Linked DNA regions of Caenorhabditis elegans. The protein of the gene in region 1 purifies or fractionates together with the protein of each later gene. This does not show direct contact. Each region holds a gene or a part of one and is shown in the gene's direction. Other genes may lie near its edges. The genes, in order: asic-1 and ttbk-5.

Evidence for each region.
Region 2: the proteins of asic-1 (region 1) and ttbk-5 fractionate together in Caenorhabditis elegans (co-fractionation; one large-scale study listed by BioGRID). This does not show direct contact.

What each region holds. Positions count from the first base shown.
Region 1 is NC_003279.8:3,767,633-3,771,559, forward strand, and holds the start of asic-1 (Degenerin-like protein asic-1), read left to right. Parts: upstream 1-2,039; 5' UTR 2,040-2,048; coding exon 2,049-2,239; intron 2,240-2,287; coding exon 2,288-2,411; intron 2,412-2,459; coding exon 2,460-2,615; intron 2,616-2,830; coding exon 2,831-3,007; intron 3,008-3,376; coding exon 3,377-3,616; intron 3,617-3,894; coding exon 3,895-3,927. UniProt on the Caenorhabditis elegans protein: Forms voltage-independent, pH-gated trimeric sodium channels that act as postsynaptic excitatory receptors in the nervous system, playing a crucial role in regulating synaptic plasticity, learning, and memory.
Region 2 is NC_003282.8:10,088,808-10,092,734, forward strand, and holds ttbk-5 (non-specific serine/threonine protein kinase), read left to right. Parts: upstream 1-1,850; 5' UTR 1,851-1,926; coding exon 1,927-1,994; intron 1,995-2,280; coding exon 2,281-2,507; intron 2,508-2,559; coding exon 2,560-2,816; intron 2,817-2,868; coding exon 2,869-3,182; intron 3,183-3,228; coding exon 3,229-3,316; intron 3,317-3,360; coding exon 3,361-3,528; 3' UTR 3,529-3,582; downstream 3,583-3,927. Other genes in the region: ttr-39 (Transthyretin-like family protein), read right to left, coding at 779-1,037.

The sequences.
Region 1 (3,927 bases):
AAACAACTTGAAATGGAACAATCAGTCACCCAGGTGTACAATAAAAAAAAATTTAGATTATCAGCTGAATAGTTCAGTTTTGACAAACAATTTTTCGATTTGAAAACCGACACACTTGTACGGGATACCTTTATTTTTAGAAAACAAAAAGTCTTAAACACTAAAACTTTTTTCTTTTTGGTTTTCAGTTCAAGGGTTCAAAGTAATCCTACATTTTCGTGTTTTGTTTCTTTTTCCTCCGAATCCTGACGTGTAACCCTTCTCACTCCAAAAAAGTGCAATCTAAAACAGAGGTGAAAACGACATTGATTCGCGGAAAACAATGAAAAATGCATGAAGTCGAAAACCTGGAGGAGAGACAAAGTTGAAAAACGGAACCTGATTGTCACTTACTATTCGTCTCGAAGGGTAGAAGTATAGAAAAGACGAGGAAATACTCGTTAGTTGGATTACTTTTTGAAAAGTGAGCGCCCACCTCCCTAGTCCTCTTGTTTTTCTGTGTGTCACAAAAAGTCTGCCTACTACTTCTGACTTTTTTGGAGTTTACGCTGAAGTTTTCTTGAAAATGAGTTTTGAATTCTGAACTTCCATGCAAAACCTTTTGCGGATAGCTACAGTTTAAATAAAATATCCGAGTTGTGCGTCGAACCCCATTAAAAAAAATTTTTTTGGTCTCCATCCAGAATAATTATTGGTGAAAACTATGTTTTACGAGGGTGCGCTGCAATTGCCATTTGGCAATTTGGGCAATCGCCGATTTTGCCGATTGCCGTAAATTCCCAAAACCAGCAGTTGCCGACATCGCCGATTGCCGGAAATATTGAAAACCGAACATTGCTGGAAATATAAATCTGATACTTTTTGTAGACTTAGAACTATATACATACATTTTACTGAACAATGTTTTCTTTTATTTTAATTGTTAAATTCAAAATACTCTTGAAAAAACATATTAGGTCGTTAATAAAAATTATTACTAGCATATTTTGATAATTCAAATGTTTTTTTAAATTTCATATGGGTGTAAAATACTTCTATGATTAGTTGCCAAAAAATTATATAGTAATACTGTTACCTCTACAATGCTTAGGAATTTTTGCACTATGAAAATATAGTCCCACTTTGCAAACTTTTGTTTCATTTTTTCTCATACTAGAGTTCCTATGACAATTTATACATATATCGCACGTTTGAGAAAAAAATAGCAAAACAAATATATCTTACCGAATGGCTTGATTTGTTTAGCTCTTTGAAGTCCCCTGACAAATGCAAGCAAAATTTTTGTGATATTTCAAATCGTCTTGTCAATCATCAAATTTTAATTGTATGCAAGCAATATTTTCAAACGATAGGCAGGCATGAATTAGGCCTGCCTACATATAAGTAATTTTCCTCTCCTTGCACCATGTTTCCACGCTTTCTTCTCATTTTCCATCAAATAAATATGGTCATTGGGTCTCTAGAAACAGACAAGAGGTAAACAGATTGCTTGTTTCCGGAATAAGTCCACAGTGGTCCTTGTATTCAACCGACAATTACACTCATTTTTGATACATTTCTTCTTCTTTTCTGACATATTCGGGTTCAAAGTTGCATTTGTTCTCATTTTTTGAGAATTGTTTCTTACCTTGAAAAAAGAAACCGGTTAAATACAATTTTTTCAAAAAACATCAGAGAGTTGCAAAAGTTCTATGTAGGCTCAAAACGTTTTCTGCGCCTGCGCCTGCATCCCGCGTATTCCTCCCGTGCCTACAATTTTAAAAATATACTTTTTTTCTTCGTTGTTTCTTAAATTTCCAAAAAAATCTCTTCAAAATTTTGACTGGCAGAATCTAAAAAATTCGTAAGTCTACAGACAATAAATACCGGATGGTTGGTAGGCACGTAGGCAGGCGAGCCAAAAAAGGAGATGTGTTCCTCCTCATGAAATTTTTAACTCATGTATCTTTTTTTAGTTTTGATGATATCGAATACTTTTCAACTTCAAAAATGTATAAGAACTAATTTTTTCATAGTTGGCAATTTTTGATCAAATTTCAGGCCACCAAATGGGAAAGAACAGCTTAAAACGGGCCCTTGAACTTGATGTCGTTGACTTTGCGGAGCACACGAGTGCTCATGGAATTCCTCGAGCATACGTTTCAACTGGATGGAGGAGGTATATGTGGCTTCTTTGTTTCCTTTTCTGTCTTTCTTGTTTCGGACATCAAGCTTATTTAATTGTGGAGAGGTTTAATAGGTAGGAATTGGAAATTTTTGGAATTACACATTATTTTTCTAATTCGAGGAACGATATAATCGTTGGCGTGGAAATAAAATTCGAAGAGATCAAGTTCCCAGCGGTGACAATCTGCAACATGAATCCCTATAAAAATTCGGCGGCTCGAGAACTCGGAGCAATTCGAAACGCGGTCAGACCTTAGCTGATATTAGAAAAATTCTAAATTCTAGATATTCAGATTGAAGCATTCGAGCTAGCAATTGATAAAAGTGATGGGAATGCACATTCAAAAAGGAAAAAGCGATCAGCTAATTCAAAAATGGTCCCGATAGATTTACTGTGTAAGGAGGAGCACGGAATGTTTACTGCTCATGATTATGGGCACGTGGAATGTGTAAGTAGAGTTTTTCCCATGCCGACCAATCAGCGACAAGCAAAGCACTTCACTGATTGGTCGGTGCTTTCTAATCAAAATTGTAATTGAATTTTGCAAGGTTTTGCGCAGTTACTTATGTTATAGCACAGTTATTTCACAATACCATTTTTCCAGGCAAATCGATTTTTAGACTTAGACTCCTTACGAAATCCCTCTAATATTCCCATTTTCAGACATGTGTCACTTTTGAGGATATGTCAAAAGTTGGTGACACCGACGATGATGAAATATTCTGGAATTGTCACCAAAGAAAAGATTGGACACATAAAATTTGCCACTTGGCAGAGGGATCCAATCAATTGAAAACGTGTAAATGCTTTGAGGACACTTGTGTTTCGGATGAGGTTACGGTAAGTTTGGAGGTAGAAAATTGTCTAAAATTGTCGGAATGGATATATAAAAGATTTAAAATTGTCTTCTTTCAAATAAATATAACTCGAAAAATGTTTTAAATTTTATTTTAACAAACTAAAAAATAGGTCGTAATGCGGCAAATATGAAAATTTGCCGAGTTCGACAAATTCGGCAAATGCGCTTTTTCAAAATTTGCCGTGCTCTAGCCGTAATACAGTACCCAATTTGCGCAGCAGTTCAAATAATTCAAAAATATATTTGCAAAATTGTAGTGAAATTTTTGAAAAAATGAAGTTTTAAAAATTGCATCGTTATAAGTATACTTGAACATTTCAGACTATTCTCTATCAAACAAAAAATTCCAGAAACAACTGGTGTGGCCACTTCAACTTTCCAAAAACGGCACAAAACTTTGCATTTCCCCTGAATCCAGTGGTCCCAGATATTGTGCATCTGCTCAAAAATTTCAAGTATCCACGTGTAGTAACTGTGATTGGTTGGGCAAGTGTGAAGAGTCTGATGATATGGATTTGGAAGAAGAAATCGACTCAAAAACTTGTATCTGTCATCATGGAAATTGCTTTCAAATTAAGGGAAATGTTAAGGTGATTTTACTAGGGTTCAGTAGGCAACGTGTAGGCAGGAGGCAGGCATGCAGAGATCTCCTTAAAAAACGGCAGACATTGAGCCAATTCTAATTTGCATCCAGGCATTGCAAGCGTTTGAAAAACAGGTATTATTCTAAAATTCTTGAAATCCAAATTTTCCGATAATTTGGCAACTCAACTGAAAATTATCAAAAATCATTTTTAAAAAATTAGACCATTCTTGGCAAAATTCTCCCTGGCGCTACCCCACCTTTAACTAGATATTCAACTTTCAGAAACGAAAAAGAAGAACTCCCGAGAGGAAAGTC
Region 2 (3,927 bases), on another chromosome or scaffold:
ATTTTTTGTAGTTTTTTGAAGCAATGTTTTATAACGGTTTTGTGGGGATCGTCCCCACAAAAATAGACGAGAGATCCTGTTTTTTAAGTGAACAATGTTTTATCATAATTTGTTCTTGTTTTGGTATTCACTTGAATTTAAATATTTCTAGGTGTATCGTGGCCCTTTACCGTCCAGTGAGTACATTTAGTTTTTGGTAGGAGTGCACAATTTCAGACGTACGCTCCTGCATGCCTACGCGATTTCCTGATTATCTGCATGTAGTCACGCCTACGTGCCTACCAACATATGTGCCTGTATGACGCCCTTCTACCTATGTGTATACAACCATTCTGCATGTTTGTTCTATCTAAATTTTTTTTTCAAATTCGCGTTCCTACTCATGCCTACAAATATAAGTCCCTGCCTGCCTATGTGCCTACCTGTCGACGTGCCTGTCTTACTAAATAGTCGATTTGAAAGCTTGATATGTGAAAGATCGGACTCTCTATTCCTAAATAGCCCCATAACCAGGTTGTTTCAAAATTTTCCAAACACACCGGCTTTAGGAAATTTTTTGATCCTTGGAAATAACATTACCAAATTATCTTTCGAAATTATTGTACTCTATCTTTTCAAAATTCACTTAGTTTTGAGACATGTAGTGAAGTGTCTGAATCTCTGATTTTGTTATAAGACCACGTGATAAAATTTATCAATCTGAATGTCAACATATTCCATACAACTACTAAAGCTACCAAATAACATGATTCAGAATGTTAAACTGATTATCACTTACACATATCATTATCCCACAATTTGACAGTGGCATTCCTAACTGGGCGTCCTCCACACATTAATTTCCCTTTTACGCCGACTGCCTGTTTTCTTCCAATTGCACGAACTTTGTCAATAAAACGAACTGGCGGCTTCTGAGTTGCAATTAATTCAATTACTTCATCTGTTTCAGATGCATTTGCATTGATTTCATCGAGATTTGAAGCATTGGAGAATGTCAAAAGGATTGTGGCGAATAGTAGAACAATCAAAACTTTCATGATTTTTTGTTTTAACAAAATTGTGAATGCGCAAACAAAAAAAGTGAAATAACAGAAACAACTTCTTGTCTTAAATGTCTTTGTAATCCTAACATAATCCCGAGAAAACAAAAAAGATTTATTAATAGGTTCAAAAGATTAAAATAACAACGCAACTCTTTGCTTATGTACTTCAAAGTTTCGGTTTTCTCATGAAAATAAGAAAAAGAGTTTGAGAATTTTCTAGAATTTGCAGGACTTTTACAAACATCAACAACCAGTAAACATTTATCGATCAGAAACCAAAAACATTCTGGAGAAATTCAAAGTTCAGAGAGTTTTTCAGAGAGATCATAAGCCTATATGGGCACAACAGGACCTTCCCGCCTACCTAAATTTTACGGTGAAAATGTTTTAGAACATTTTCATGTTACATCCATTTCACCTATTAGGCTTCACCTATGCAGGAAATTTCCTTTTTCCAAATTCAGTAACGCTTGGCTCTGCTTTCAAACTTTAGGAACTTCTATATACTAATTTCAGCATTTTGTATCTTTCTCGAAGCGAACACCCTTTTAATCCACTTTTTCATACAAAAATACAAATTCGATATTTGTATTTTAGAGATCTTTTGAAGTGTTCCAGAATAGTTTGCTTTTCTCTACACAAACGTCAAAGGTTTCCTTCGTCACGATTGCCTAGATATACTTCGTGCCAACGAGAATAGATAAAACTATTTAAATTTAAGTCGTGTAACCTTTGAAATACCCCGTAATCCGACCCTTCGAACTTTCCACGTCTTTATCAGAAATACAATCAGAATCGATATTCAAAATCAGTTTCGAAAATTTCCAATTCTCCGCGTAGCAGAAGGCAGCTAAAAAGAAAAAAGTAGCCGATAGAAATAATAATGGCTGTCGATAAGAAAGAAGAGGAAAAGGATCCAATGGACAATGTTCGTTTTAAAATTGGCAAACGGTTAGTTTTTTATCGGAAAATCACACATTTTCCTACGAGGGTTTTGCTCACTGCATCATTTGGAAACTTGCCCAAAGTGGAGTTTTAGAGACAGTCCAGTGAAAATGCTCTTACCTATTTAATGAGCGCGGCTGAGTTTTTCCTTTTGGCGAACACGTAGCAAAATCCAAAATCTTGTTGCTCTGCCCATCTACATTCAAACAAATTGGTTTATACTTGAGCAGTATGCCAATTTGATTTATAGTGGCCTGATTCCTACGTGTCTCCTACAATCTCTAATTTACAGTTTCGGTTCGTATACAATAGAAAAATCTTTGGACGAAGGAGGATTTGGTCAAGTTTACCTCGTGAGAGATAATAGTGGCAAGCGATTCGCATTGAAAGCAGAATCGAACGATATGGAAGGAGGATCTGCAATCAAGTTGGAAGCGTTGATTCTCAGAAAATTGAACGATGGAGAATCGGTGATTCATGTGCCGAAACTTCTTCTTTCAGGAAAACGGAAGAAGTATTGTTAGTTTAAAAATATATAATAAATTTTCAGAAAAACATTTGTATTCTTCAGGTTACATGGTAATGACACTTCTCGGCAAGAACTTGAAGTGTCTGAAGAACAAACGACCCAAGGAGAGATTCACACGTGGCACATGGTCCCGGATTGGAATTCAATGTCTGTACGGGCTTAAATACATGCACGACTGTGGATTTGTCCACAGAGACATTAAGCCGCAGAATTTCATGATGGGTAATGAGGATGACAAGGAAAGAGCTAGAATTGTTCACATTTTGGACTTTGGGCTAGCAAGATCTTTTGCCAAGTTTGTGAGTTGTACATCGAGGAATTTTATAATTGGAATAGTTATACCTTTTCCAGAGCGAGTCATCAAAAACTTGGAGTGCTCGTCGTGCTCGTGGAACTGCAGAATTCCGTGGAACACTTCGTTACACGTCCCCAAATGTCCATTTTCGTAAAGAACAAGGTCGAGTCGACGATATCTGGTCTCTACTCTTCGTGCTCATCGAGCTTAATGGAGGGCTTCCATGGCAGAATGTTCAGAAGAGAGAAGAGGTTGAAGCAATGAAAATGATAATGACAGATCAAGATGTTATGTTGAACATGCCTCCTTGTATGTGTGACATCATTCCTCACTTTCGTACACTTGACTGTTACATGAGACCGGATTATCTGTGAGTTGAAAAAACAAAATATTTAAAAAAAAAAGAAGATTTTCAGTTTGGTGTTCAAAGCTCTTTGGCAAGTGATGCTTAATGAAGGACAGACTACAAGCTCTCGCTTCGATTGGGAAACTTCGGATCCAGATGTATAGCTTGCTTGAGATATCTCTTCCTATACATTCTCTTTCAGCCATCAATCTCTCCGGCGGATTGGGAAAATCCAGACGGTCGTTTCTTCAAACTGGACAAAATCGGAATCAATGGACCACCTCCCATGGACAAATGTGCTGCGGAGTCAACTCAACAAGGGGATGCTCTGAAGAGTGATAAGGGAAGATCGGTGAATCAAAAGAAATAGAGATGAAGAAGATAACTTGTGTTTGATTCCAATAAAATGACTTGTGATAATTTCTTGTTTTATTTGTTACAAACTGGTCTTTAACATACCCGAAAGATTTCAAAGTCGGGTGGTCAATTCAAACCAACAATTGAAAATAATTTCGGGCTTGTTCCAATTGTCCGATTAAAAATTGTCTGAGTAGGCACAATTTCATTTTATTGCTTTCAATTTTGACAACTCGAAGACGTTAAAATGTTATAAAATCAAAACTCCAAAACCAAGATTTTTAATTAAGTAGTTTTAATTAAGTAGTTTCATAAAGTTGATAAATGAAGTAACGGGACAATAATCTTGGTTTTGGAGTTTTTTCCCTGAACTTGGAAATGTAAAACAACATAAATCAATTAATATGGTATT